Linked DNA regions of Danio rerio. The protein of the gene in region 6 purifies or fractionates together with the protein of the main gene of each other region. This does not show direct contact. Links are inferred from orthologs where the notes say so. Each region holds a gene or a part of one and is shown on either strand. Other genes may lie near its edges.

Region 1 (4,288 bases), on a different chromosome or scaffold from region 6:
AAAAAAAAGCAAAAATAAAAGCCTGACATGAATATTTCGGGGAAGAAATCAATGAACCATTTGTTAGAACAACTTTTGTTTATTGTGCTTTGCGTGTTTGAACAGGAATCAATGGGGAAAACTAACAGGTAAGGGATAATTGAATGTCGAGGTGTAAAGGTGTGATGCGTTTGCACTTTCATCGTCTGGTCTGCGAAATCAATTGTGTATTGGTCAAAACAAGGGGTGTCAAACAAACTATTAATTAGGTTGAAGATTGAAAGAATTAGGTGATGGTGACATCCAAAAATCAAAATGTTAACACGCTTAGTTATTGTCGGTCACATGTCTTGCAGACTTCAGCTTTTGCTTGTCAGTTTTTGTGCCATTCATCGTCTCTAATTTCTATTTGTTTTAATACTTGAGCTTAATCAAACTAAAATTTGGTTTGTGTCAGGAAAAACACATTTTTCATTAATAATTAATTCCAATTTAATTTGGGTTTATCCAATCATGCAAACATATTTAATATTAAATATGCAAGCAAGTATCAGAAACAGGACACATTCATGGATTTATTGGAGATTCTTGACATATCCTTGATAACTGGGTCAAATATTTAACCACAAACACAAACTCCGGCCAATCAGCAATCTTTCACTCAATCGCCTCTATAAAAGCATTTCATCACTAACATAGAACGCAGCTCATTGACATGCAACAACCAGGTACCCTTTCTTACAGCATCTCTTTACCTCTCGAGTCTACATTACTTGAAAGTATGTATGAGTGTATTAAAGTGAAGGTAAAAATGGTAAAAGGAGGTTACTGTTGTTTTATGATGCTTCTTGCTCGGACTGGTTACCTTTAAATCAGATCTGTGCTAATCAAAATAGAGGGATGGACTTCAAGTTCAAGCTGTTTCCCTGCCAAATTCATTCTACTTCCATTATACTATGAATAAACTATTAAAAAAAATAAAAGTACTTCAAATTTTCGGTAAGGAAAATCAGTTGTGGTCTTAAATTAGTGAAACTGGAATTCATATTGTACACTTGGATGAAAGAACAGGCCAGGCCAGCTCTTTTTCACTCTACTCGTGTCGTGCACCAAACGTGGTTGCAGACGCTACATGGAGGACAAGTGGAGGTTATCTATACAAGAGTCAGCAATACAAAACAGACAGTTAAAACCTGGGAGAAAAAAACTTAAGGGTATTTGACAAAATGATTGTTCCCATTGTTCTGAGAATTTGAAATACCACATGAGACCTACGGAGAACTTATCGCCTCACACGGAGAGTGGTCTGGAGAAAGTCTGGAGAAATCCTGGCCACGTTGTTTTTGTCACTCAGAAGCCTTTAAAGAAAAAGAAAGTTTAGGCCTTGACTTCCCTTTCCCCAAAATCATCTTCTGTTCTTCTTTCTGCTGTTTCTGTCGCTCTTGCTCCAGCTTCATACGCTCCTCGTGTATTTTTCTTTGCTCTTCAACTATTCGTAGCTGGTCCTCTGCCTGTAAGACAGTGAAAAAAAGAGGAGTTTGTTAGTGTGGTAATCTAGAGGTACCGAAACCCAGTGTTGATACCTTTGCAAATAGAATGTACCCAATTATAATGCAGATTTCTGTGCGAATGAAATCAGAGGTCTGGGAAGTAGAAGATTGGAAACAAATCTTAATTAAAAAAAATAAATAGGCTACAAGCAGGGCACGACAGAATATGTGGACTTCTTTTTTGGGGGGGGAGGGATTATAGATTTAATCTGGATTTATGTGGAATGATTTTGAGAACATAGGAGCTGAAAACTTTAAAAGAAACAAAATACATCTTAGCTTTTATTTAAGGTATTACAATGTAAAGACAACCCTAAAGTAGGTCTCTCATACTGTATAATACTTCCACTAAAATAAAGAAAAACCCTACCTTAGCAAGGTATTATAATTATTTTAGTCAAAGAACATCTTTAGAAATGACAATTTCTTTATTTATTCCTTTTCTTTAGGAAGAAAATACATTTCATTTAACTCATGCTAAATATTGCAAACAAAAACTACAACCTACAACATTTCAACAAAACTGTATATATTTATATGATTTTTTTGCTATTTTTTAAAATTGTATTTAATATTTTTCATATAAATTAGAACATATAAATTTGGTCTACTAATTTTTGAACTATTAATATAAGTTATTTTGTTGGATTAGCTCCAGATTCGGCTTTAGTTCTGATTAATGTATATGCACAATTATAATATTGTAAAGCATCCAATAGAAAATATTAATTTAAATGAGAGATTGGTGGGGTGTGTACCTATATATGCTGAGCACTATATATATATATATATATATATATATATATATATACACACACACACTCAACAATCTGTTAAAATTAGCACATTTTTGCTGTTTTGGGCTTAAAACTATTCAGTCCTAATACATATTACAAATATTGCACTGTGTTCTCTATTTATTTCCTTTTTGACCAGTAATGTAAAAGCAAACAAAAATATATCTAAGGTCTCCAACAAATAATTTTACATCCATCCACAGTCTCTGAAATGGTTCTTTCAAGGATATGGTCTATCTAAACCCCACTTTTGTAAAATACTACACTGCTCTGATTGGTCTGAAAAGGTTAGGTTTGTTGTGACTGGTCCACCAATTACAGCATGTCGCCAATTACCATTTCTCAATTTCAGCAATGGCATCGGGTCGGTTTTACCAATATCACCTAAAGCCCAAGCCTTTATTCTATGCAAGAGCATTTAAGATGAAATTGCTTTAATAGCACAAAAGTGTGTTCTCATGTGAATGTCAATACCCCTAACAAGCAGACAGTTATGTACAGTAACTGTTTATAAAGCTTACAAGCATTGCAATGTTTTGGAATGCTAACAATTTTGCAGCAGAACAAATTAATACAAAAACCAAGACAATTTACGCAAGAATTCTCACAGGACATTGTCATAATATATTAAGAAATGCGTTTATAATCACTACTCCCACGCTTTGATTAAAAGCTTCAAGCTGTTCTCTGTGATGTTTAATATAACGTACATGAGCGTTTTACTTACAGTTCGTTTCATTTTGAATCTTGCATCATCTGTGATGTGTAGGACATTCATGACAAACCGAATTTTGTGAAAGCTGTCTAGAAGCGACCGCATCTGTCGGCTCACTTTCACATGTTGACAGGACAATCTTGACCTTTATAGCTCTGAATTGAGAAGATCTCCTATATAACGTCTGATTTGTAAGATTCATCAGGACCAGAAGTAAACACTGTTCTTCTTTTGGTTTAAAGTGCAATTGAGAAGGAAAAACTCCACAAAATAAAACATACTGGAAGTAGTCCATACAGTGCAGAGGCCATTCATTCTATATGAGAAGACTGTAAGATGCCAATGGAGTGCTAATTAAAAAGGCTTCAAGGTGCTTAAAACTTTTACAGTACTACTCACTTCATACAGGAATTCTTAAATCACATCCATGACACTAATTTGTGCTCAGTGCAGAGTAGATTATATGTAATCTGGATTACGTAGCCAGATTAACAAAAATAAATCTATACTTGTAATTAGATTATATTACATTTTAAAATAGATTTAATCAGATTAACTTTTTTGTGGAATAAATGATTACAAATTATATAATCGTGTAATATTGCAGATTTTTTGTTAAAATATCCACAATATTGAATGGTCCTTTAAAAGGATATGGAAAATTAACTCAATTCATTTCATGTCATGGTTTTATCTTATTTAACTTAAAAAAATTACATATACATACACAGAAACACATATATAATATATACAAACACTACACACTGTAAATGTCTATATATATATATATATATATATATATATATATATATATATATATATATATATATATATGTATATATATATACACGTATATATATACACGTATATACATGTATATATATATATATGTATATATATATATGTATATATATATATATATGTATATATATATATATATATATATATATATATATATATATATATATATATATATATGTATATATATATATATATATATATATATATATATATATATATATATATATATATATATATATATATATATAAATAAATATATAATATACTTTAAATGTAATAGAAGTATTATTATTTGCTAGTGGTTTTGATTATATTTGCTGCCATTTATCATTTTACAACTAAATTATTATCAAAAAATAAAATTAATTGTAATTGGAAAAATTTAATTAATGATTCAGTGGCCTATTTTTTTAATTATAAATTGCACTTATTTTATTATTAGATGT
Region 2 (3,860 bases), on a different chromosome or scaffold from region 6:
TATCATTCGATGCATCTGTCAGCAGCATGGAGTACATTCCTGATGGGGAGACTCTCGTCATCACATACGGGAGAACCATCGCTTTCTATAATGCCCACAGGTTTCTATCTTTCATATCGTGCAAATATTACCTTGAACGTCAAGTTGGAACAAAAAACATGTTCTGTACTGTACAGAAAACTGATAGCGCCAGACTGATATTTTGTGTTATCTTCAGTTTGGACCTGATTAAGACCGTAGACGCCCCTGCTTCCATTCACTCCGCTTCCCTGCATCCTGATAAAGACTTCTTTGTGGCTGGAGGAGATGATTTCAAGCTTTACAAATATGACTACACCACCAAAGAGGAAATGGGTATGAATATAGTTGATAATCATGTTCATATACCTAAAGCACATGGAAAAAAAAGGTTTATTATGGATTGGCTCATGACCAAGCATATGTTTGTTCATGCTTGACAATATGATTGATTTGTCTGCCATTCAGAGTCATATAAGGGTCACTTCGGGCCTGTGCACTGTGTGCGGTTTAGTCCTGATGGAGAGCTGTATGCCAGTGGCTCGGAGGATGGCACTCTGCGTCTGTGGCAGACAGCTGTAGGCAAAACATACGGCCTTTGGAAATGTGTCCTGCCTGGTGAGTTTACATAGATATTGCTTCTAGTATACTAAAGCTGGCAATGCACACTCAAAGTTAGTATTTATGGCTGCACCATAATTGAAATAAAATTTGTGCCAACCATTTTATAATATAAAATCTTCAGAAGGGTTTACTGCTGTTGTCAACTTAAGACAAGATAATAATTAATATGTTATTGTTATAATCATTATCAAGATTCTGATATTTATAGCTAATGTTCATAGTCAAATAATCACAAAATATTAACTCTAAAGCAGAGTAAACATGAAGCGTTTGTGTAGCATTTTAGAGAAAGATCTATATTCAATCTGTATGATTATAGTGAATAGCAAATATGAATGCTTATTTAACAAATTGTAGTGTACATAGTTGTGAATGCTATCCTTTTGATAATCGATATTACCAGATTGTACTTGCTAGATGTCAAATAGGTCGCTCATTCGTAATTGGAGAAGATAAACAAGTATATTTTTTAAACACATTAATGCATAAGTCCATACACTCCAAATTAAAATGAAATTACAACACTTAAATGTGTATTTACTGTTATTTTAATCAAAATATTGTTTTTGAAGACCGTAAATAGTTAAATTGCTCAATTGAAACCATTTATTATGATGTAATACTATTTTCCCATGAACATAACTGTTGCTTCTGAATAGACATTACATCATGTAATAAATCATTATTTCCTTCAAATATTTCAGCAGGATTGGAAAATCTGGGTATCCAAGGGGTATTAAAAAGTCTTAACATTTGAAAACGAAAATGTAGGCCTTAAAAAGAAAAAAATTCACTGAAATATGGCGTTGTGTGTCTTAAATACTTTTTAAACATGTCTTAATTTTCCTTTGTGCATGTGAAGCTTCCCAATCACTACAACCAACAATCTAAAAAAAACATGTTTAACAGAAGTTATGTTGATTAAGTAATTGATGGATTCTCTTCACCAATATGGTTTAATTATCTTCCTTGCATCCTTACAATAACATTTGTTTTAAAGTTCTGCGTATATGTATGCATAAGTTTAGTTGATATTACCTTATTTGACTGTTTAGTTTTTGAAAAGAACGTTTTGTTCTCTTAAGCATTCTGAAACATAATTAACACTTATATATTTAATATTTTGAGAGATTTCTAGGAAGAATAATCATTGAAATATTGAGAACAAAACACTAAAATAAGTTTTAGGAATGTTTCGACAATGCTCTGATTAAAATGAAGCTTTATTTCTGAATTTTCTCTCAGCATTCAAAATGTCCTTTTTTAACAGTTTTGGAAACTACAATTTATATATAACCATGTTTTGACACTATTTAAAAAAATGTGGCTAAGAAATAACCACATTTCAATTTTATCGGGGCATGTACAAATATAATCCACTGGCCATTACAAAAAAATTATTAGGGTTTTGCCCTGTAAAAGTCTAAAATTTCATTCATAAAGGTCTTAAAAGTCTTAAATTTGTCTTTGTGAAATCTGCAGTAAATATGCACATTCATTTCCTAAATGCCTTAAGTATTCAAACACTGTTCGTTTAATACACCTCTCTCGATATCTAACCAAAGGAAAAGCATATACAATATATTTTAATATTTAAATAAAATGTAAGTAGTTAATTTCAGTGCTAAATCCAGTAGTACGCTAGAACTATCAGTAAATTTTGAAACGTTTATTAAATGTCCCTGCATTCACTTCAGAGGTAAGCTGATAAGTAGCATATTTTGCTTCTCATTTGTATGAGGAAATGCTCTCTTCAGCTTTCAATCAGCTCTACAATGCAATGTGTACAATACAATAAATATTCATTTATGCTTAAAATACACTCTAAATTATTTTACCAGTGATTATTGTTTACCCTCTCATGAGAACTCCCTTATAGTTAGGCATAAACCTATTATTGTATCCTATGGTAAAACCTCACATTGTCTTACAGAGGAGCTGTCATCAGAGAACTCTGAAGCGCTTTACTGCCCTCCAGCAGAGATCAAGGCCTGAGTCAGGAAAAAGAGAGAGACAACGAGGCAAAGGAGGAAAGATCACGGGACAGGGAGAGGTCAGGGGACGGGACGGGTCAAGAAACCACACCCCAGCAGAGTGCTGTGCCACCACCCTTCTTCACTAGAGACAGACCGCGCTGCCAAGCATGACTTTTAAACGTGAAGATGAAACCCACACGTACGCATTGTGGAAAATCAGGAGACGGCGGTAGAGCTGAGAGTGCTAGTGCTAATGCTAATCCTCCAGCTGCCTGCTCTTTCTTTGATAGCCATGAAGCATCAGTCAGCTCCTTGGTATAAAAGCGGTCGGTTTCTGCAGCACTGTGATCACTTTGGTTGAGATTTACTTTTGTTTTGTTTTATTTTGGTGTTATAATGTGCTTTCAGTACAATTTGTTTGTTATCGCAAGAGCTCAGTGTTCAGTTTGAAAACATCTCTCAGCAGAAGTGCTTTTGAGGAACTTGCTATTCAAGTGTTTATCAATAGTAGTGTGAACTTGTGGTAAATGTTTTCCATGAGTGCTCGGGAAATTTGTAAAACTTTAAAGTGACTTAAGTTCTTTAATCGTTTTGTCTTTGGTTGCAACATATGTTGTATCATTTGGCCAATAAAATGTTGTACCTTTATCATCTGGAATATTTCTCTTTATTTGTGTATGTCTAGATCAGTCACATATGAGTTGTATCTTAAGGTGATACAGTTCACCAAAAAATGACAATTCTGTCTCAAAATCAGCTTAGAATTGGACATCTTTTCAAAATGTCTTGTTTTAAACCCAAAGGAAGATATTTTGAAGAATGGTGGAAACCAGTATGCATTGAATTTCCTATTTGCCTCCAAAATTCTTTAAAATACATTATATTGTATTAATTCTTTAGATGAATTGTCACTTTTATATCGTATTGTTTACTTCCTCAATGAAGCAGCTGTTAAGTAGTTTAATTTTTAGTCTTATTCTTAATTATTGTTCTTTCTACTCGTTATGCGAAGTGAATCTCCTATAAACAAGAGGTCGAACTCGTCTATTTATCGCCAGTGATTTTAAATAGTCCACCCGCCAATCAGAAGGCTCCTTTCTGCGGCGCGCATCCAATAGGGGTCTCTCTCCTAAGGTGGTCACTGATCCCATAAAAGAAATCAGCCCCAGGCAGCGATAGTGTCCTGCTGGAACCAACAGACATGTCGGAATTTCTGGAAGACCCGTCCGTGCTTACTAAAGA
Region 3 (4,280 bases), on a different chromosome or scaffold from region 6:
CCTCAGTTTTGGGCTGAAAGGAAAAAGAAGTCTCCAGTGTAAGCAGCTTTTTTCAGATTTAATTTAAGCCCAATAATAAATAAAGTCCTACCATGACAACATTATCATCCAAAAACTGAGCTTTCCAATGCTGACGATGCTTGTTCACACTCTGAAACAAGAAATATATGGATGAAACAAATTACAAAAACAAATTCTAAAAAGTCTAAAAGTACTTAAAGGGATAGTTCAACCAAAAAGAACATTTACTCTGTATTTACTCCCCCTCAAGTGGTTATCAACCTTTATGAATTTCTTTCCTCTGTTGAGAGGCATTTTGAAGAGTGTTGAAAACCTGTAACCACTGACTTCCATATTAGGAAAAAGAAATACTGTAGTAACAACAAATTCTAAATACTACTACTAAGTCAATAGTTACAGGTTTTCAGCTTTCTTCAAAATAAAGGGTGAGTAAATGATGACAGAATGAAATATTAAATGAAAGTTGTCATCATTTACTCATCCTTTATTTTGAACAAAGCTGAAAACCTGTAAAACCTGTTTTTTTTTTCATCTGCTAAACACAAAAGAATCTATTCTGAAAAATGTTGGAAAGCAGTAACCATTGACTTCCATAATATTTGTTTTTTTTTACTATGGAAGTCAGGTTTCTAACATTCTTTATAATATCTTCTTTTGTGCTCAACAGGAGCTGAGCCGAAAGGCAAAGCTTTCGATTTACCGGTCAATCTACGTTCCTACTCTCACCTATGGTCATGAGCTTTGGGTCATGACAGAAAGGACAAGATCACGGTTACAAGTGGCCGAAATGAGTTTCCTTCGAAGGGTGGCAGGGCGCACTCTTATGGATAGGGTTAGGAGCTCTGTCACCCGGGAGGAGCTCTGAGTAGAGCCGCTGCTCCTCCACATCGAGAGAACTCAGCTGAGGTGGTTCAGGCATCTGTTTGGGATGACTCCTGGACGCCTACCTAGGGAGGTGTTCCAGGCATGTCCCACCAGGAGGATGCCTCATGGAAGACCCATGACACGCTAGAGGGACTATGTCTCTTGGCTGGCCTTGGAACGCCTCGGGATCCCCCCCGGAGGAGCTGGAGGAACTGTCTCGGGAGAGGGAAATCTGGGGTTGTCTCCTAAGACTGCTGCTCCAGCGACCCGGCCCGGAAAAGCGGCAGAAAATGAATGAATGGATTTGCTCAACAGAAAAAATAAACTTGAAAAAATTTGGAACCACTTGAATAATAGTAACATTCATAAATAATGAGTAAATATTCATTTTTTGTGTGTGAACTATCCCTTTAAAGAAACTAATGTGGTTAATATTGAACACCTGTCTGACTTCTGAAAATCTGCTGACTTGTTGCTGCTGCCATTTAAAGCTGGGTGAAAAACCCTCAGGTGCAGCAAGACAACCTGTGATCTGAGGCAAAAATAATGGCACAGTTATTTTACACATTACAGAATTTATAACAGATTATTCAGTTCACTTTTCCCACTTACAGACACATTCACTGACTGTTTCTTCAGCTTCTTTGGATCAATTTGTGCCACAACAACATCTGGACACAGAGATGCTTCCCTCCTGTAAAATATACAGTAGTCGATATTTAAACAGGGTCTTTTTATTAAAGTTGCCCGAAAACCATTGAACAACACCCACTCTTGTCTTAGAACAATTTCGAAAAGCGTTTTCAATCCACTTGTAAAATGCTGACTACTATAATGTTCATCGAACAAGAGTCAAAGTCAAGCATAGTTTCATCAACAAGAAAAAGCTAATACAGCTTTAAAGTAGTTTTGTTTTTCCTGTTGCATTAGAATGTGTAAAATAACATTTTTTACAAACAATATTTACAATAGTTATTCTGTGTAATAGTAATTTATTAGCCAAAAGCATTAAAGTGTAGCCCCAAATCATATTTTGTTAGTGCCACTGTCCTTCGGATCACTAGTTTTACCAATTTGATCAATTAGTTCAACGTGCTAAGCATTGGGTAACAAACTATGAGGTTCTAGGTATGAAACCAGCATAGAGCCACAATCTTGACGGGCGGCACGGTGGCTTAGTGGTAACCACTGTCACCTTACAGCAAGAAGGTCACTGGTTCGAGTCCTGGCTGGGCCATAAGGCATTTCTGCGTGGAGCTTTAATGTTCTCCCCGTGTTGGTGTGGGTTTCCTCTAGGTGCTCTGATTTCCCCCACAGCGCTCTCTCTGTGAGTGTGTGTGTGTGTGTGTGTGTGTGTGTGTGTGTGTGTGTGTGTGTGTGTGTGTGTGTGTGTGTTTTTAGCTGGTCATCTCCCAGCCTGCCCAGCTAAGACCAGGCTGGAAATGACTGGAAACCAGCCTGCAAATGGCCATAACCCCTCTCAAACAAGCCTGGTCAACCAGCTAAAACCAGCCAACCAGCCTAGGCTGGTTTAAGCTGTTTTTTTTTTCCAGTAGGGTTTAACAACATAAGTACTGTTTAATTGACTGAATAATGTTGTACTTTAGTAGTCATTGGCAGCTAATATGATCTCCTTCTTTACAATTTGCAAATAATACTTTTCTAAAACTGTATTATTGATGAGAATGTCTGAATGTGCGAATATTAAACCAACTTTACCTCAATAGCCGAAAGACTTACTGGACAAATCTGAGATATTCCTGAGGGTTTCTAGGCGGCTCGGTAAGAGTATATTCCTCTGTGTCGCAGGAATCCACTGGCAGGAGTCTGGGCATCAACTCCTCGGCGTCTGACTTCATCTCTTTGCCTTATTTTTTATGCACGACCATCAAAATAAATCAACATGCTCACTATTACGTGCATGTCAACCTCTCCATTTTGAAAACATTGGACACGAGGATGACGATCAATAGACGCGACGGTTCTTTTATTCACTCGCTTACAGATGGAAAGATGTGTAGCGACATCTGTTGTTTAGGAGAAATGTGAAGGGTAACAACATAAAATGGTGGAGAAATATTGTACAAGTAGAATATTTTTTATTTACTCCCCAATAAGGTTAAATAAAAAGGAAAAATTATCAAATAAGAGCTGTGTTTTTTGAAAACTCTACCCCTTCTGCTATCTCACATTGAAACGGTCTTTTTGATTATTTAAACTGGGGAAATATATGGTCCATACATCAAGTTTTTCCTTACTAAAAAGGTAAAGGAAATATCTTTTAAATTATTACATAACATTTATCCTATCAAAAATGTCTTAAAGAAAAGATTTGGATCATACTTTGATACAAATATCTCCTTTTGTCAGATTAACGCTGAAACTCCTCGCTTATTTTGGTCATGCAATTGTCCAAATATTACTTTACAGCATTTTTCTGTGACTACAAAAGTCATTTTTGGTGTTTTTTATAACAAAGTTTAATGTCTACTTTAAAATAAACCTTTTTCTTTATGCAGATTTTATGTTCATAAATGTATATTGTCAATGTCAAGTTGCAAGCTAACATTTCTAGCATTTACAAGAGATTAAAAATTACTTACAGTTCCAGATTCACTTAACAAGAAAGTACTCAAAGCATACCATTTGCACGACCTTTATAATCAATTAAATCTCTAAATTGCTGCTTCTTATTTTGCCCTCTTCACTTTCAATTTTTTTTAAATCTATATATCTACCCTCAGATCAGATGGCCTATTGATATTTCTTTGTTTTTTGTTTGATTTCTGTTGGTTGTTCCTCTTTCTTTTTTCTTCTTTTTCATTCTTTATTGGCACCATTGTAAATAATCTAATGATTATTATTGTAAATGATGTGCACCAAATGTATCTTTCTGTAATACAGTAAATGTATTTAAAAAAGATAAAGAAAATATTACACAGGTATCCCTGCCATCTGTTCATTAATACATTTTAAAAAGACATTTCATCAGAATGTTTTAAACCTGAAAGTCTCCTACATCTATTTTGTGCTTGTACATTTATTGACGACTTTTGGAAACTGGTTTCAGGGTTAATTTTTTACTCAGTTTATAATAAAATTATATATAATTAACTTGGATGAATGCATGATTCTTTTTTAAACTGAAAACTGGCCATGATACACTCGGTAATGCTTTGAAGTTGATTATTTTTCTTGGGACGTTTCACATACACAAGGCAAAATTAAAGTCTATAACCCTCTCCTTCAATTAATTTATTTTTCTTATAAGTTTGAAACAGGCAACGCAGTGGAGCAGTAGGTAGTGCTGTCGCCTCACAGCAAGAAGGTCGCTGGTTCGAGCCTCAGCTGGATCAGTTGCCGTTTCTGTGTGGAGTTTGCATGTTCTCCCTGCG
Region 4 (3,640 bases), on a different chromosome or scaffold from region 6:
ACAATGTGATTCAGACGTCATTTTCTTCCCAATAGCTGTGCCTTCAAAGATGCTGTCACAGAATTTGATCAAAACAGGATTTCTAGAACAATTTTATGCTTACTTGGCAATTTTTTTTTACCAGGACATATGGAAAGAGAGAATTTTGAATTTATTGCCATATCAGCTTTTATGGCTATATCATGGCAAAAAAAGATCAGGTTTACCACATTTTAAAAAATAATACTTTTCTATAATTATAAAAATATTCTAACAATTAAAAGTCATCGAAAGCAATAAATACAGAAGATAAAAATACAAAGTAATAATGAGAATACATAAGATAAAAATCTAAAACTTTTTTTTAAGGATTTAGTTTTGATGAAAATTTAACAATTTTAAAATTAAATACTACATTTCAAGTCCCTCCAGACAATAATTGTTGTCGGATAACAATAAAAATAGGGCATTGCACAAGAATATTTTTAACAGCTTGGTTTCTGTTGCAATATAGACATTTTAGGGGTTTTTCTCCTTTAGCAAGTGTTCAGTGCGAGTTTTTTTGTGTCCGGAACGTCATCTTCTGCATACAATCTCATCATTTCTTGAGTTTTAAAAAAAAAATTGGATTTTGATCCTATTTCAGGCTGGATTTCATAGTTTATTTTTTGAGCACTAATCCTACCATAATGGTATAAAATCAGCTTAAATAAACATAATGGATTTTTTTAATGAGCCTAATATATTGACCTCTGAAAAAAACTAAACCTTTTTTAACAATAAATGTACCAAATGTAGCACTTTTTAGAAGCGGTTTTCTTATGATATAGAAAAAAAACATCCAGCTTATATAACCTTTGTGGACATCAGGCCTACACAACATATGTTAAACAAAAATATGCACGCATACACACTGTGTAAAATTGGATACTCACAGCATGGGATCCCACTTGGCGATACTTGCTGAGATCTTCTGCTCTGACCAGCTCTTCTGGCACGGTCTTTCCTCTCTGAAAAACAAACACGTAAAAGGTTACAGACATTGAAAAGCACATCAAATAACAGTGACCACAAACTGCTAATTAAACGTTTACCTTCTTTCTCTCGGTGGTCAGAACAGTGGCCTTGTCTTGAAGCTGTAATGTAAGAAAAAGTCTTTGAATCCCTTTGTACATGTGTGAGCAATGAGAACACTGCTGAATATACTTGTGGATTCACAAACCTTCTGTATGATCTCCGGAGTCATTCCAACCTGTTCACTGACCTCCATGGCCTCACCACCAGCACCCTATGAAAACAGAAAATTATATATTTAACTCCATTGTACTATGGCTATGAGGGGGTTGAATTATTTTACATTTAAAATTGAACATAAAACCATAAAATAAATAAATATCGGATTCACAATTCATCTCAGAATTAATTCTCAACTTTTGAAATAAATTCCTGCATTATATGAAATAACTTTTTTTTCCTGCATCTTTCATTTTGAAAGAGATTATAATCTAAAAGTATTTTTTTTTCAGAATCTTGAGAAATTTTTTTTTAATATATATATTAGAGGTTGCACTGACTAGTCGACTAATCAACTAGTTGACTTTAATGCTCTGCCGTGATGCTTTTTGATAAACTTCGACTAGTCTCACTGTGCAGATCACGTTGTTTGACCAGAACTACATGCAGCTTTACACACTAAGGTGGAACCACGAGTGCACGGATGTTGTCACTGAATGAAACTGCCCTCCGATTATTTAAAATACATTTTTTTAACTGTATTTTTTATGTCAGCGTCAAAGATTCACGTGAACTTGTATTGAACTTTAAATCGGTGCCAGTTAGGTTTAAGCAACCCTGAAAAGTAATGTGATTGTCTGCTGCCCTCTACAAACCTGTGAAAAAATGTGAAGTGCACAGCCGCAAAGGTGTGATAAACTTCACAGCTTGTGTAGGTGTAAACATCATCAACATTGGTGAACCTGGTGAAGATGTACAGCAAGCAGACTTCTGTAACTAAAATGAGCCAGTGACCACAAAAAACGCCTGACTTAAGCAGGATTTTGAGCAGCTTTCTAGTGCGCATGATCATAGCGATAAAATATAAAATACATTAAATATAATGTAATATTTATAAAATATGAGTCTGATTAGGACTCCGACAGTGTAATATGGCTTAATGTTATAGCCTGTCCTTTCTGCGTTATGTATAACGTCACATGAATCTGTGTGCTGCATTATTTCTGCACAAAAATATCTGTTATTGTTACATTCTTACTAGAATGTGCAGTGATCAATGTGTTAACTGCATTTATTTCGCAGTAAAATTTAGTCCGGGTGCTAATGTTACATTAATAACGAAAGAGTCGACAGTGTATTTGTTTTGCACTAAAATGGTGTCATTGGTGTAATGTTGCATTGTTCTTGCAACGCGTTATGAGCGTTCCAACAGCATGGAAACATATTCTGTCCTGCAAATAAATCGCAAATTGTGGCATGTTGCAAAACATTTGCATCTTATGTTTTTTTTTGATGACGCTAAAAGCTACTAGTTGACTCAACTTTGATAATATAAAAGTCGACTTTCAAAAATCTAAAATCGTCAACCTCTTTTTTACATTTAATGAAATTCAATAAAAATGGTAAGGCAGTTACCAAAAACATTTAAACACTTTATAAATATCACATTTCTAAAATAATAAAAAAGCAAAAAAATAACAATCTAAAACCGTTTTTTAAGGTTTACTCTTGCTACAAAATTTTACCTTAAAAATTATTATAATTGCTGTCTAATAACATTAAAAATAGTGGCCATTTCTATTTGAAAAACCTCAAAGTACCTATGGTTCATGAGTGAATTAAGATTTTTTTTTTCACGCTACATTATGAATATCTAAAGAAATTACTGACCACAGCAGCGGGCTGAGAAGCAGGAGCGGCCTGTGGAGCGACCAGTCCAGCCTGGGGTTTGAGGGTAGCCAAAGCTGCAAGCAGAACAATGTGTCAGTGATGGCACAATTCCAGTCAACATCTCATCCTGAAAGCAATCATGCCACTCTTACCTTCTCTGGCAGCAGTGACCTCTTTTGTAAGACGAGCAATGACTCTGCAGGCTGCATCATGCTGGTAGAGAGCATGAGAAAGCTCTTGTCGTGTTGTCTGCAACTGCTGCCTCAGTGTAAAACTGTGCAGCATCACGGCGTCCTGAAAGAGAGAGAGAGAGAAAAAAACTGTGTTAATCTAAAATATAATCATTCTTTTATAACAATCACCAAATATTAAATGGAAAAGTTTTTCATACGTTGAATGATGCATGTATAATTGCACATATTGCACACAGAATAAGCAGGCTTTGTTGAATTATTTCATAAATAACTGGACGTATCATTCTAAAATCCCAGTGAAGTGGTACAGGATTATTTTGTTTCTCCAGTCTATGGTACAGACTCTGCCAGATGGTTTGTTTTGGGAACAGGTAGGCATTTTTACTGCTTGTAGATTTTGATGCACGAAGATATATCATATAAGTATCTAAAAGTGCAAGGGAGATTCTTTGCATTTGTAGTGCGCACGCCAAAAGATCAAATTCATGTTAAACTTTTGACTAAAATGTATATACACTCGATCAATTTAACATTTATATAAACAATATCTTCAGATAAGGTAC
Region 5 (4,199 bases), on a different chromosome or scaffold from region 6:
AGCTAAAATCCACGCCTACACTATCGAGCGTGCATGAACTGTGATTACTTTTATATTGCTGATTAGCTGTTTGGCATTTCACTCTCTGACTGAAGGCAGTCGACCAATCGCAACAGGCTGTCATCGGTCCAATCAGAGCAGATTAGCTTCGCGCTAAGGAGGGGTTTGGGAACAAATGAATCACTGGACGATTCATACAGGAGTCGCTGGGATAATTAGATAAAAATAAATGCAGATTATAAGACCACGAAAGTGTTTTTTTGACCTTGCATGCATATTAAACTGTTGTTGGAGACCCTTACAACCAAGATATGACCCTATTTCATGTATAATATGGGCTCTTTAAGAGGTTAAAGAGGAGTTGTCACCAATGTGTCTGAAATGTAAAACAGAGAAAGAAGACCTTGTTCATTGTTTCTGGCTTTGCAGGCAAATTCAACAGTTCTGTGCCATGATTGAACAAGAAATTTATGGTATTTTATCTATTAATATTGGTTGCGACCCAAAGCATATGCTGTTTGGTTTATACGAAGAGATTAATATGAAATTCATTAAAATAGAAATTAAAAAACACTTTGCAAGTTCCTGATATTTTGTGCAAGAAAATGTATTCTCCTGAACTGGATAACGGGTAAAACTCCTACAAAGTCTTCATGGCACAGGGTAAAACTTGAATATGTACCACTGGACTACTTAACTTGTGTTTTAAACGGCAAAGATGTTTTGTTTCATGAGAGGTGGGATCCATTTTTGTTACATATGGGTTTAAACATAACCTTCATACTCATCAGACGGTTTATTTAATGAGGTCAGATCTTGTGAAGGTTTGTGGTGCATGAATATGCAAGATCTCTTTTAAAATACTTTTTATTTAACTATTATTATTATTATCATCATCATCATCATCAACTTATTTTCTCCGCCCTGTTCTGTTCATTTGTTTGTTGTTGTTGTATCTCTATTGCTTGAAAATTTAAATTTAATAAAAAATAAAAAAAAGCAGTAGTAGTAGTGTGAGGACCATGTTCATAGGATGTACTATAACAAACAAGATGGAAAAATCATTGCAGCACATTGTAATTGCGTAATAAGTTATTGTTTGCTTGGATTTTGCGCAAGTGTAATGTTGTTCGAGGTATCTGTTTTTTAAAATGTAGTGTATAAATATTATTAAAATTACTAATTATACATGTATTAATGCTGTAAAATGATTAACCACATTTAAAGTAAGTTTTGTTTGTTTCACAAATATATCCAAAATTTGTAAATCATGCACTCCATCTGAATTTCACGCCACAGCAATAACGTCATGCACAATTGATCAATAAAAAGTACAATAAAACATAATATATGTAGACTTTGTATGACTTGCGTTCATACTTGTATAATACATTTTTCACAAATCGCTTTTCTTATAAAACAGCTTTTGTTTCTTCACACATCATCTGTAATGATTATCAGAAAAAGATATATGTAAAACATGGCATATAGAATTAACTAAATGACTAACCCAAAATGACTAAATCAACACTAGATGAACTTCTAATTTGAAAAATCGAATAATAACACAAAGTCATCGGCGGAATAGCCTAGTGGTTAGCGCTCTGACATATGGTGCAGTAGCACTTCAAGGCATCCTGAGTTCGAATCCCAGCTCGAGGACATTTCTCGTCCCTACCCTGTCTCTCTTCCACTTTACTTCCTGTCTATAGTACTGTCCTATCTACTTAATAAGGCAAAAAGGCAGAAAAACTATATCTTTAATCAAATTAATAAATAAAACAAAAAGTCAATAGAATAGTTCACCCAAAAATGAAAATTTACTCCCCATTTACTCAATTTCAAATTTTTGGGTGAACTATCTCTTTAAAGTCAATCAAAAGCCCCAAACTGCTTCATTTTCTGAAGTGATAATCATTTCAGGTGTAGTTCCTTGATAGGAATAGGAGCTGTGGCACTGACCATGGGTTTATTGTAGAAGGGGAATCCCTGAAGCTGTCTGAGGGCATTGGTGGCTGCTGAAAGCTCCTTGAAGATCACAAACGCCTGACCCCTCATCCTCATGGTCTTCAGAGCCACGATGTCCATAATCTGGCCGAACTGCGAGAATAAGGCGTACAGTGACCTCTTCAGCTCTGTAGAAACGATTAACACAACATTAGCACCATTTAATTGACCGTGAGAAATGTACTTTGATTAGTTTGATTTGAATAGTTTAATACATTTCCTCATTTAGAAATTGCAAACCATTTTTTTCTGGATTTATATGATGAAGGAGATAATATAAAAGCAACTTTACCCCAATCTTAACTTTAAAACTGATGTGGAGCAATTATTACTGTGAAAAGCCCTTTACTAATTAACTCAAACATACTTCAATGAGCAAAGACAAACAAAAATGTCAAAGCTTTTCCACATATAGACGCAAGTTACAGTACAAACGAAAGACTTTACCTTCTTTCTTGATCTTATCATTAACATTGTTGATGTAGATGGTGTGATTCGGCCGGATGTCCATGATTAATAAACTGAGGTAAAATGTCCCTGCAGTAAACACATAAGAGATCCAGTACAATAAACAACGAGGAACTACAAACACAAAACACTCGCAGTGTCTCCCATTTAAGCCTTCTGAGATGCCTGAAATGACACTGAGTGCAGCTCTATAAAATTATAAACGTGAAACAACTTATTGATAGATTTAAAAATCACAATAAAAGTGAATGAACGGACTCACCACACTTCTGGATTTAAGCGGAAACTGGCGCTTCGCTTCTTCTTCGTTTCCTTTATTGTTGTGAATCGGGTTTCGCTTGTTGCGCCACCTGTTGTCGCGGAGTGATACTAACACTATTGCTAGGACTTTTCGTTGCTAGGTTTAGCAACTTTTCATATACTACCCTAGCAACATTTTTGAATTCAAAAAGCACCTAAGATCAAGTTTATCAATATTTGTGATTGGCCATTTGATTGTTCATTAGCTGAAGTTACCTTGTTGTTAGCGTGTATAACTGTTGTTCATTTAGATAGCATTAACTGCTAATACATTTCCCAGTACTGGGTTGCAGTAAACATTAAAACATATGCAGGATAAAATGTTTTTTAATGCTGAGATGGCCAGTCAAGTTGTGAAAACTCATTATTTTGTATATTATAAAAAGTTGCTTTGAGTTGGGATTATGTAATGATGCTATAATAACACAAAGACGTCATAGCATCAGTTAGCAACAAATTATTCCACCTTTAGCATTTTGTAAAAGGGATGTTTATGCAATGTTTTTTTTTTATTGTATGTAGGCTATGTTCAATATTTCTGGATTGATGTGGAATGTCTATTTAGTGGTGATAGAATGAGGATACAGAAAAGAGATGTTGACAAAAAAGATATAGATAAAAAATATCCTGTTTATGTTGAACTTTTGATAATATTTGGTAAGTTTCATATACACAAGTGTAAATGGACAGAGAGGAAGCCTAAAATCTCTCATTCATTCATTCATTTTCTTTTCGCTTAGTCCCTTTATTATTCTGAGGTTGCCACAGCGGAATGAACCGCCAACTTATCCAGCATGTTTTACACAGCGGATGCCCTTCCAGCTGCAACCCATCACAGGGAAACATTCATACACTCTCATTCACACACATACACTTCGGACAATTTAGCTTATCCAATTCACCTGTACCGCATGTCTTTGGACTTGTGAGGGAACTGGAGCAAGATGTAAATGCCACACAGACTTTCCAACTGACCCAGCCGAGGCTCGAACCAGCGACCTTCTTACTGTGAGGCGATCATACTACCCACTGTGCCACCGTGACGCCCTAATATCTCCATTTTAAGGCTAATTTACACTTAAAGGAACTCTTAAAGGTCTTGCAAGTCGTAAAGCAACCATAACTGTAAATATACTGCAAAAACTAAAGTCCTATGGTAATTGTCATGCTGTATACCCGCTCTTGTCCTTTTGTTACTTTCTTTTCGTTTATTTATTTGTTTAACATATTTTATGCTACAACATGAATATCCTATTTTAAGATTTGAAAAGCATTTGATTGGAAATGTTCAGTAAATATAATGAAAATATTAAGTTAAGAAATCCGCCTTTAGAAATAAAAATGTTTTCATAAACAGAAGTTTGCGAAGTGTATACCAAAATGTAATTTATTTTTAATGGAAATGGAAACTTTGGAAAAGTCTC
Region 6 (3,938 bases):
CCTTTAATGTTTCAATGAGACAGCGCAAAAACTGTCAGACGTTAATAGAAATGTAAAGTCATACGTGGTCATGAATTATTAGGCACCATCAAGCGTTTATATTCATAATTTGCTGTAGCATAAATCATGAAGCTGTACAAATGTTGGGTCAGTCAGACTCACCGCTGAGCGAGTGGACTTGTAAGCGACAGTCACGCTCTTTTCTTCCTTCTCTTCTTCACTTTCACTCGATGAGACAGCTTCCCTCTCCACTTTCTTCGTCTATAAAACGAATAATAAATATAATAATGATGACATCAGTTTAACAGCGGCTAGTTACATAAAACACATGAAATACGGACATACTTTCTGAATCATGGGGTTCACAGCGGCAGATTTCTTCTTTCTGACCACTGCACTGCCCTCATCGCCGCTGCTTTTTTCTGATGATAAAGAAACAAAACACTGAACTGCAGACATGTATTGAGCATAAACATTAATTAAACAGACGGCTTGTTGTAGGGATTATAGTTTCTCAAGTCAAACTCGCTGTCGATTGAGACACTGAAGAAAGAAGCACAACGTACCTTTGTCGCTGTCACTTGCATTTCTTTTCCGTGCGGAAAATTTCTTGTTTGATTTCTTAAAAATAAATGTGCAGGTGGGTTTTTTCGGCTCCTCGGACTCCGCCATCTTTAACTACGTATAAAAACAAACGATGAAGTCATTTTTTGGTTACAGCGCCTCTTGTGTTTGGGAAGAAACGTAGAATGGGAATGGTTTACTGCTGTTGTATTTGATATGAATATATTCCCATTTAACAATTGATAATGTACATATCTTTACTATTATTATTAATCAGTAACTAGCAATATTCAGACAATATTTGGATGCATGCATTGAGCAAAATTAAGGATAAAGACGTTTTAAGGTATTTTATGGTGTACTTAAAGTAAAATTATGATTTAGAGTGAATTTTTTCCCATTATAAAGGTAAAGTCTAGTTAGGATACTGTGGATACGTACATCAACATAGCATAAGTTTTGTGACACTGTATAACAATAAATAATATTTTACAGTACAAATTCCACACTGGCCACGCCCCTATCGTGAATGTACCACTAGACGTAAATGTGTCGTGAAACACCGCAGCGGTTTACGGCCTCGCGCCATTTTAAGAAAGGAACGACTCGTTCAACTGGGTGAGAACACACGTTGGGTATTGTGTGGACCGAAATACACACAAAAATACCGAGTGAATTAAAGAAATTCATGCACGAAGGTCTTCCACAGAAACACGCAAGAGGATTTTGGCCCGAAAATCGGAGATTTCGTTGGAGCCGAATGAAAAACTGAGGTAATTGACTGCAGGAGGCCGTCCGTGGAAATGTAGGCGATCTCGGATATGATCATCATGAGAGAGTTGGTGAATTAGCAGAGCTGACCGTAACCACGACTGAGCTTTGCTTTATTTTTGTGTATTAAAGAGTGCACTGATATTAGTTATTAGATGCGTCTCTTTTTGTTGATGCTACACTAACGTGATCTGATGCTGAAGTTGTAGTTTGTTTAATCATTATGTGGAGAATAAAAGTGTTTGTTTGCACGAAGCTAACCGAGAAAGCTAAGACTGCTAGCAGCTAACTTCACGAGACTCGTTTAAGGGGTGTTTGTTTACTGATCCAGATCTATGTGAAGACGCTGAATTTTCAGTTTGAATCTGTTAGCATGATTTTGTCTGCTTATTTAAATCCACCTTATCTTAAATAACGTCTTATTTACCATTTTCACACAGTAACTGCTTAACTTGCATGAGGTGCTCCTAATTGTTGATTATTTTTTTTATCGTTTGTGTTTTTTCTCTCTTCCAGGTGAACAATGACTCAGTTTCTTCCGCCGAACCTGTTGGCATTGTTTGCCCCGCGGGACCCCATACCGTTCCTGCCTCAACTGGGAAAGCTTCCTCACGAGAAACACCACAACCAGCCCTACTGCGGAATTGCTCCTTTTATCCGGCATTTTGAGGTGCTTTTTGACTTGTTATTTTATGTAGAACGGTTTATTTATCGATTTCTTTGTTACATTGATGTATAACTGTTTTTTCTGCTGTTTATTAGGACCCCAGAGATGCCCCTCCACCCACAAGAGCAGAGACACGGGAGGAGAGACTGGAGAGGAAGGTGAGCGAGACTTGTCTGAATAGACTCTCTGTGGGGAGTTTACTAATGTTTTCTCCTGCTGAATTGCTTTTAGATTGACAGAGCTGCACTCAGTAGTTTTAGTGGGCATATAAGTACAGACAAGACGTGTTTGAAAAGCTTGTTGATACATGTCACATTGAGTTTAACCATAGGTCATCCTTGTCCCAAACTTTGCTTGAGACCACTGCTAACAAAATGTTTTTTTTAATTGAAGCAAAAAAAGTTAGAATATTTACTCTGCCTCCACTTGTTTTAAACCGGTTATATTTTGTGTCATCTGTCCAACACAAAAGTATTAATGTTTTGGAGAATATTAGAAACCACATGCCATTGATTCCTTGGTGTATGTATATATATTTTTTTTCACTGCAATGGATGTTAATCGTGACCATTTTTTGGTATGTTTCTTTTGAGTTCAACAAAAAAAGGAATGCGTTTCCACTGGAGGATGAAATAATTTACATTTAATGTGCACACGATTAACTTTCACTCTATTGTTGAAACTTGGCAATTCATTCACAAATCCCTTGTGTTCTGGACCGTTGAGTCTTGACAGCTATGAACACTTGATAATGCTGAAATATGTTGCATAGCCCTAAGTTTTTAGAAATCATTTGTCAACGCACCATAATCAAATTCTGAAAAATCGATGAAGGAACTTGATAGCAGTCAGCAATAGTAAGATATGCATTGCAGAAGCTTTTGTGTAAATGTCACATGCTCTATTAATCCAGTAATATGATGCAATAAATGACCAATAATAAGAATGTTATCCAATTATTTACATTTGTACAGTATTTAATGTAAAATTATGGTAACTAACTACTTGGTTATTTGTTCATTTCAAATCCAGAGAAGAGAAAAAATGGAGAGGAGGCAAGTTGTGGTTGAAGGAGAGCTGAAATTATGTAAGTGTCTTTAAAATAAAGGCTTTACAGTTGTAAATAAAGTCATTAAAATGTTCTATATTAACCTTATGACCTGTATCTCCACAGGGGACCCACATAATGACGCTAATGCCCAAGGAGATGCGTTTAAGACCCTGTTTGTGGCTCGAATTGTGAGTATTTTTTGGTCTCAAGCATAAGCTTGTCGGCTGACAAAAATCTAAATGTGTAGAGGTTGTTTCTTGAAGACAAATCTTACATGTTTTATTCTATTTATGCAGAATTATGATACCACAGAATCCAAACTGCGGCGAGAGTTTGAGGTCTATGGTCCTATCAAACGGGTAAATTGTGCTGAACGTGTATTATGCATATTAATCTTGGGTCAGTTTGTTTCCACTGTCTTATTCTTGTATGTATCTGCTATTATTAGATCTACATTGTGTACAACAAGAAAACTGGAAAACCAAGAGGCTATGCGTTCATTGAATACGAGCACGAGAGAGACATGCACTGTAAGTAACCAACATATCTTATTCTGCCTTCAGCCCCTTAAATGACCCCAAAGCAAGGTTGCACCAATGGTTTTTGTATTTCCAATAAGAGGCATTTAAGTCTTATCAAAACCCCTTATTAAACACCAAAGGAAGAGTCAGATGCAAAAAGCTCTTAATTGCATCTGATATATTTATAAATTGAGCATTTTTTGAAGCACAGTGGTTGAGGAATTTCACTATTGTCAAACAATAGATTCTTTTCGTTCCCTTAAATAAAATATCTGAAATGCTCATTTTAGAATACACTTTCAGAAGGCATACCTTTTGCATCTGAAGTCTTCGTATTTTGGTTGTACTCTATTTTATCTCTGCA
Region 7 (4,419 bases), on a different chromosome or scaffold from region 6:
GAGTGGCTAAATCCTGTGGGTTTTCATGAATTTGTCATTTAACATGCATGTATACTGTTTACCTCAATCTACAGTTAACTACATTTCTGAGACAAAAAATGCAATCCTATTATATTTTGAACCCGTGATACTAAAGCCTTCATTTGTAGAACTTGGCGGCACTGCTCTCAAAAGTTAGTACAGAGCCCTGCCTTTAAACGGACTAGTAATTTGTGTTTTTTTATTCAGGGAGTAGCTCAAGCACATTAACCTAAAACCTCTAGGAGGAGAAAAACTGACTCAACTGTATCCCCACCCTACACCACTCTGACTAGAGAAACTTGTTATGCGAAATCTCTACAACAGCTGCGAGAAGACCCTAAAAGAAACCTGAAGAAAGGCTAAAACAGGTGCAAAAACACCCTGAATAGAATAAGCAACATTTTGATAATAACCAGTACAATAAACAATATTTCCAGGACCACCTAGACAACCAGTGTTTAGTATCAGACATGCACTTTTAAAAGCAGTACTAACCCGTCTCAGCCTGGGGCTGCTGCATCTCCTGCTCTGTAACAGGGACAGTTTCTGTGGCTTCGCCTGGCATTCTGGACTAAAACAGAAATGAGAAACAATACATTATAAGCTTTACAAAGTCTGCATGAAGGTTTAGACATGCGTTAGTCAGTGCTTTGTGTTAATGAGGCTTTTTCTATTGAAACAGCAGCACTCTAGGCCTCTTCCTGTAGGCCTCTGCTGGCTGTCAGCTGTCCCACTACCGGCTCAGTTAAACACTGCTGTTGTCTCAAAGTATTGAGCTACATGATAACATTTCACAAGGCCACCGAACAGAATTTGTGAGCTTTATCAATTGCAAACAGGCAAACTGAACAAATAAGGCTTATAACGTCCCCAAACAGTTCCACACACTGTTCATGTGTGCGCGTGCACTGTGTTGCACATTTCACGTGTGTATCTTAACAGAGGAGCTCTGACACGTTACTGCTGAATGAAAGAACCTCATTACACAAATTACAATAAAACTTTTTTAAAGAAATGAGTTTATAATCCTTTATAATGTAACGTTAGGTTATACTGTTGACACAGCATGCGTTTTTAGAAACGTTACATGTTTAGGCAGCGAAGTTAACTATCCAGCCAGTGTTTATTGTCGCACGTCACGCAACAACCTTTCGTACGATTAAATTACAGATTTCTCACAATATATCGCTATAGTTGTATATAGTGCAACTTTTTGCAGGGTTAACATTTTCGTTAGACACAAAGCCCACGGCTGAAGTATAGCGAGCGGTGGTGCGTCTCGCTCCCCCATTTTGAACAGTCAGCCAGTTGTAATCATCAACATATTTCCTCAATAAGCCAAGCAAATTTACAAATCTTTACCATTCCAAACACAGCTACACTAAAGCATCAGCATAAGCTACAAATTATGTATTGAATTGGCTAAAGCAACGTTGGATGACAATAGATTTTACGCAGGAGTACTCACTAGTTCAGGGCACAGGATCCAAGATGGCTGTGAGAGAGGGTTTCTGACCTCTGCGTCACTCTGATGTCACTGCTCTGCTTCCGGTCCCAACAGGAAGTCACTGTCGGATAAGCTGAAGTCTATAACAAGAAACCACATTTTCAGGTAATTCTGTCTACACACTGTTATTTTTAAACACAATAGTTTATTTCAGAGTTGACCATGACGGAATATTGACAATACCTGATTTAAGGGAAGGTATGTGTCTTTGTTTACAACAGAGTGGCATTGCTAAGCTAACATGATTTTTCTGGGAAACGTTTGCTTCACGCACTCTAAGTTACTAATCAGTTTTTGTCATCCGAGAACAGGGTCCGTGTATCATCCGTTCATTTGATTATTCCTTTTATTACGGAAAACGAAACATCAGAAAAACGATGAATATTTCGTTTTTCTGTTTATTCTGTAGGCAGAAAAAACGGAAACTCATCTGTTATTCTGCTTATTAACTTAAAACGAAATATTAAAACAAACACAAAACCAAAACGAAATAATGAGTCAAAAAATGGTCCGTGTACATTTTGTTCATTTTTTTTCCAGTTTCAAACGGAATAAAGGAAATGGAGAAAACTGCCGTTTTTCCGTTTTTCTTTTGCTCACGAGAAAACGAAAAAACAAGATTTTGGCTGGATTTTCGTTTTTTGGTTTAGGGTAGGAAAACGGATAAACGACTTTAAAATTCATTTTACACATGTAGGCGGTGCTGAAACGCCCACTTTCCTCTAATTGGTCAACCAAATCTGCGCTCGTGACGTCACCCTCAAAATAAAAGCCTTACACGCAGGCTTTTAATTATTATTATTTAATTATATATATATTAACTAAGTTTACAGATTCTATCATTTGAACCACACACATTTAGCAGGCTTACATTCATTGCGTATGTATAAATTAAATAAAAACGTAAATCAGCAGTATTCTTAGACATTTGTCATTAAAATAAGGTCATAGTTCACTGCCAAGCTTCTTGCTGCTGTGCACCTGATGCAGAGCAAAGATAGCCATTTCCGAGCAGCACCTGGTTTACATGATTGTTTCAGAGCTATTGTAGGCCTAAATAATAGCCTACTCTGTATAAAATAATAATTTATTATTATTATTATTATTATTATTATTATTATTATTATTATTATTAGGCCTATTATTAGCAGTATTGTTATTATTATTATTTACTTAGTTATTTAATGGTTGTAAGAACACAATGGACCCTGCATGGGGCTATAATAAATGGTACCTGTTTCTATTGGATTTTCTCCTATTTTAATTTAATATGTGCCTTTAGCCTATTGTAAATATTTATTTGATAATTAATACTTTTTTATTGCAACGTCAAAGTAGGCCTGTCTTATTATTATTATTTTTTGTTATTATTTTGTCGTTGTTGTTGTTATTATTATTGTAGCAGGGACATAGCCACAGGTGTGGCAGAGTGTGCTGGTGCCACCCAAAGTGGCATCTTGCACCTGAAAATAGATGCCTTCGCACTCAAGCACGCGCAAAAAAACTTGCACAGGCAAAAGTAATGATGAATGTGTTGAAGGAAAAAAAAAACATTCTAATTATTTGTTAATTAAATAGTGCAACATTATTCTCAGTCAGTGTAGGCTGAAAAAATTAAGATCGCCAGCATTTCAAGGGTGGTTTTATTTTTAGTTCATTGCTGTGACGCGCTATATTTCACTAAGGCTACATGAGACTGCGCATCTTGCTTATTTTCTCTATTTTACATACAGAACATATCATACAGTCCAGGTTCTACCGTTCTAGTGAGTGTGGGGCATTGCTTTACGGTGGTAAAGTGGATTATTTCTTGGCAAATTCATAATGATTCACTTTGTTTAGTAATAAATTTCATAGTTATAAAATAACTACATTTCAAGAATATGTTAACACTTTCAACTATTTAGGATTATTTATTGCATCAAAAGTAATTTCAAAGTAACATTAAATGTACGTATAAACTGCTTAATTTGTGTGTGTAAACACCTAAGATGCAAAAAGCTTATTTAGACCAGAATAGGCCTACTAAATGCAACGGTCAATGTATGTAAACTTATGACCTAAAATGTCTTAAATGACTAAATGTAAGTCTTTTTAAGTTTTTAAATAATTTAAGTTTAACATAAATGATTTAAACTTTAAACTTCAAATTAACAGAGTATGGCAAATAAATTGTTTATTAAATGGAGGTCAGGTGTCTATCTTAATTATAATTATTAAATATTATGACACTACAGTGGTGTATTGGAGAGTACGCACCTTTTAATTAATTAATTTTAAATAAGTGGTTTATCCTAAATAAAATGCAATGGGATCGGTGTGCAATGAATAGTTTGAAAACCCCTGGTTCAGACTAGACGAGCTAGCTGTCTGTGCGCTGCGCTAATAACTTGGCATTTGCTCTTTTCGGTGCTGCCAGATGCATTTATAGTGCATAAAAATAAAAAAGGTAATTCGGTAAAGCGCGCGATGCGCGCAGAAATAAGCGCACTATATGCATATGTCGAATTAAGTTCTCTTTTTCTTTAATCAAGACTTTTCCATTCGAGGAATTACAGTTATTAATAGCTTAATCCTTATAAACGATCAGTTTATAAAATACACAATTTACGGATCAAGCCTAATGAAGAATAAGAAGAATATGCAACGCATTATGATCCTTGAATGATCAGAGCGCATTTATATAAACTATATATTTTATATATTCCATAAATATTAAAAAACATTATACATTTAAAGTAATAAAACATTATATGTTATAAAATCTAAACTATTATTTAGGCTACAGGCTGTTCAGCGCGTGCGTCAAAGAAAAGACATGACACAATCTCTATAAAAACTAGTTGTTTATTTACAATATCTAAAGGGATATAAAACATCTAACATGCATC

What was found.
Region 1: the proteins of snrnp70 (region 6) and arglu1b purify together in Homo sapiens (affinity purification with mass spectrometry; 3 studies listed by BioGRID and IntAct, with this or other methods). This does not show direct contact. The link is inferred for Danio rerio from reciprocal best matches to the Homo sapiens genes SNRNP70 and ARGLU1.
Region 2: the proteins of snrnp70 (region 6) and strap purify together in Homo sapiens (affinity purification with mass spectrometry; 3 studies listed by BioGRID and IntAct, with this or other methods). This does not show direct contact. The link is inferred for Danio rerio from reciprocal best matches to the Homo sapiens genes SNRNP70 and STRAP.
Region 3: the proteins of snrnp70 (region 6) and gemin2 purify together in Homo sapiens (affinity purification with mass spectrometry; 5 studies listed by BioGRID and IntAct, counting the BioPlex papers as one, with this or other methods). This does not show direct contact. The link is inferred for Danio rerio from reciprocal best matches to the Homo sapiens genes SNRNP70 and GEMIN2.
Region 4: the proteins of snrnp70 (region 6) and prpf19 fractionate together in Homo sapiens (co-fractionation; 3 studies listed by BioGRID, with this or other methods). This does not show direct contact. The link is inferred for Danio rerio from reciprocal best matches to the Homo sapiens genes SNRNP70 and PRPF19.
Region 5: the proteins of snrnp70 (region 6) and snrpb2 purify together in Homo sapiens (affinity purification with mass spectrometry; 5 studies listed by BioGRID and IntAct, counting the BioPlex papers as one, with this or other methods). This does not show direct contact. The link is inferred for Danio rerio from reciprocal best matches to the Homo sapiens genes SNRNP70 and SNRPB2.
Region 7: the proteins of snrnp70 (region 6) and tfip11 fractionate together in Homo sapiens (co-fractionation; 3 studies listed by BioGRID, with this or other methods). This does not show direct contact. The link is inferred for Danio rerio from reciprocal best matches to the Homo sapiens genes SNRNP70 and TFIP11.

The regions. Positions count from the first base shown.
Region 1 is NC_133176.1:9,081,277-9,085,564, forward strand, and holds the end of arglu1b (arginine and glutamate-rich protein 1-B), read right to left. Parts: intron 1,491-4,288; coding exon 1,326-1,490; 3' UTR 542-1,325; downstream 1-541. UniProt on the Homo sapiens protein: Dual function regulator of gene expression; regulator of transcription and modulator of alternative splicing. General coactivator of nuclear receptor-induced gene expression, including genes activated by the glucocorticoid receptor NR3C1.
Region 2 is NC_133179.1:17,464,570-17,468,429, reverse strand, and holds the end of strap (serine-threonine kinase receptor-associated protein), read left to right. Parts: coding exon 1-100; intron 101-217; coding exon 218-354; intron 355-486; coding exon 487-636; intron 637-2,575; coding exon 2,576-2,637; 3' UTR 2,638-3,266; downstream 3,267-3,860. Other genes in the region: tmpoa (thymopoietin a), read left to right, coding at 3,820-3,860. UniProt on the Homo sapiens protein: The SMN complex catalyzes the assembly of small nuclear ribonucleoproteins (snRNPs), the building blocks of the spliceosome, and thereby plays an important role in the splicing of cellular pre-mRNAs.
Region 3 is NC_133192.1:14,292,420-14,296,699, reverse strand, and holds the start of gemin2 (gem-associated protein 2), read right to left. Parts: upstream 2,855-4,280; 5' UTR 2,745-2,854; coding exon 2,626-2,744; exon of another isoform or gene 2,605-2,625; intron 1,580-2,604; coding exon 1,498-1,579; intron 1,418-1,497; coding exon 1,328-1,417; intron 152-1,327; coding exon 92-151; intron 14-91; coding exon 1-13. UniProt on the Homo sapiens protein: The SMN complex catalyzes the assembly of small nuclear ribonucleoproteins (snRNPs), the building blocks of the spliceosome, and thereby plays an important role in the splicing of cellular pre-mRNAs.
Region 4 is NC_133189.1:18,665,391-18,669,030, reverse strand, and holds part of prpf19 (pre-mRNA-processing factor 19), read right to left. Parts: intron 3,178-3,640; coding exon 3,036-3,177; intron 2,958-3,035; coding exon 2,884-2,957; intron 1,268-2,883; coding exon 1,202-1,267; intron 1,116-1,201; coding exon 1,074-1,115; intron 990-1,073; coding exon 915-989; intron 1-914. UniProt on the Homo sapiens protein: Ubiquitin-protein ligase which is a core component of several complexes mainly involved pre-mRNA splicing and DNA repair. Required for pre-mRNA splicing as component of the spliceosome.
Region 5 is NC_133176.1:55,030,607-55,034,805, forward strand, and holds the start of snrpb2 (U2 small nuclear ribonucleoprotein B''), read right to left. Parts: upstream 2,841-4,199; 5' UTR 2,738-2,840; intron 2,545-2,737; 5' UTR 2,519-2,544; coding exon 2,455-2,518; intron 2,136-2,454; coding exon 1,963-2,135; exon of another isoform or gene 1,860-1,962; intron 1-1,859. UniProt on the Homo sapiens protein: Involved in pre-mRNA splicing as component of the spliceosome. Associated with sn-RNP U2, where it contributes to the binding of stem loop IV of U2 snRNA.
Region 6 is NC_133178.1:30,714,773-30,718,710, forward strand, and holds the start of snrnp70 (U1 small nuclear ribonucleoprotein 70 kDa), read left to right. Parts: upstream 1-1,138; 5' UTR 1,139-1,337; intron 1,338-1,851; 5' UTR 1,852-1,858; coding exon 1,859-2,005; intron 2,006-2,097; coding exon 2,098-2,160; intron 2,161-3,034; coding exon 3,035-3,089; intron 3,090-3,176; coding exon 3,177-3,241; intron 3,242-3,349; coding exon 3,350-3,412; intron 3,413-3,501; coding exon 3,502-3,583; intron 3,584-3,938. Other genes in the region: E3 ubiquitin-protein ligase RNF113A, read right to left, coding at 163-261, 346-422, 567-672. UniProt on the Homo sapiens protein: Component of the spliceosomal U1 snRNP, which is essential for recognition of the pre-mRNA 5' splice-site and the subsequent assembly of the spliceosome. SNRNP70 binds to the loop I region of U1-snRNA.
Region 7 is NC_133198.1:20,764,237-20,768,655, reverse strand, and holds the start of tfip11 (tuftelin-interacting protein 11), read left to right. Parts: upstream 1-1,580; 5' UTR 1,581-1,633; exon of another isoform or gene 1,634-1,726; intron 1,727-4,419. UniProt on the Homo sapiens protein: Involved in pre-mRNA splicing, specifically in spliceosome disassembly during late-stage splicing events. Intron turnover seems to proceed through reactions in two lariat-intron associated complexes termed Intron Large (IL) and Intron Small (IS).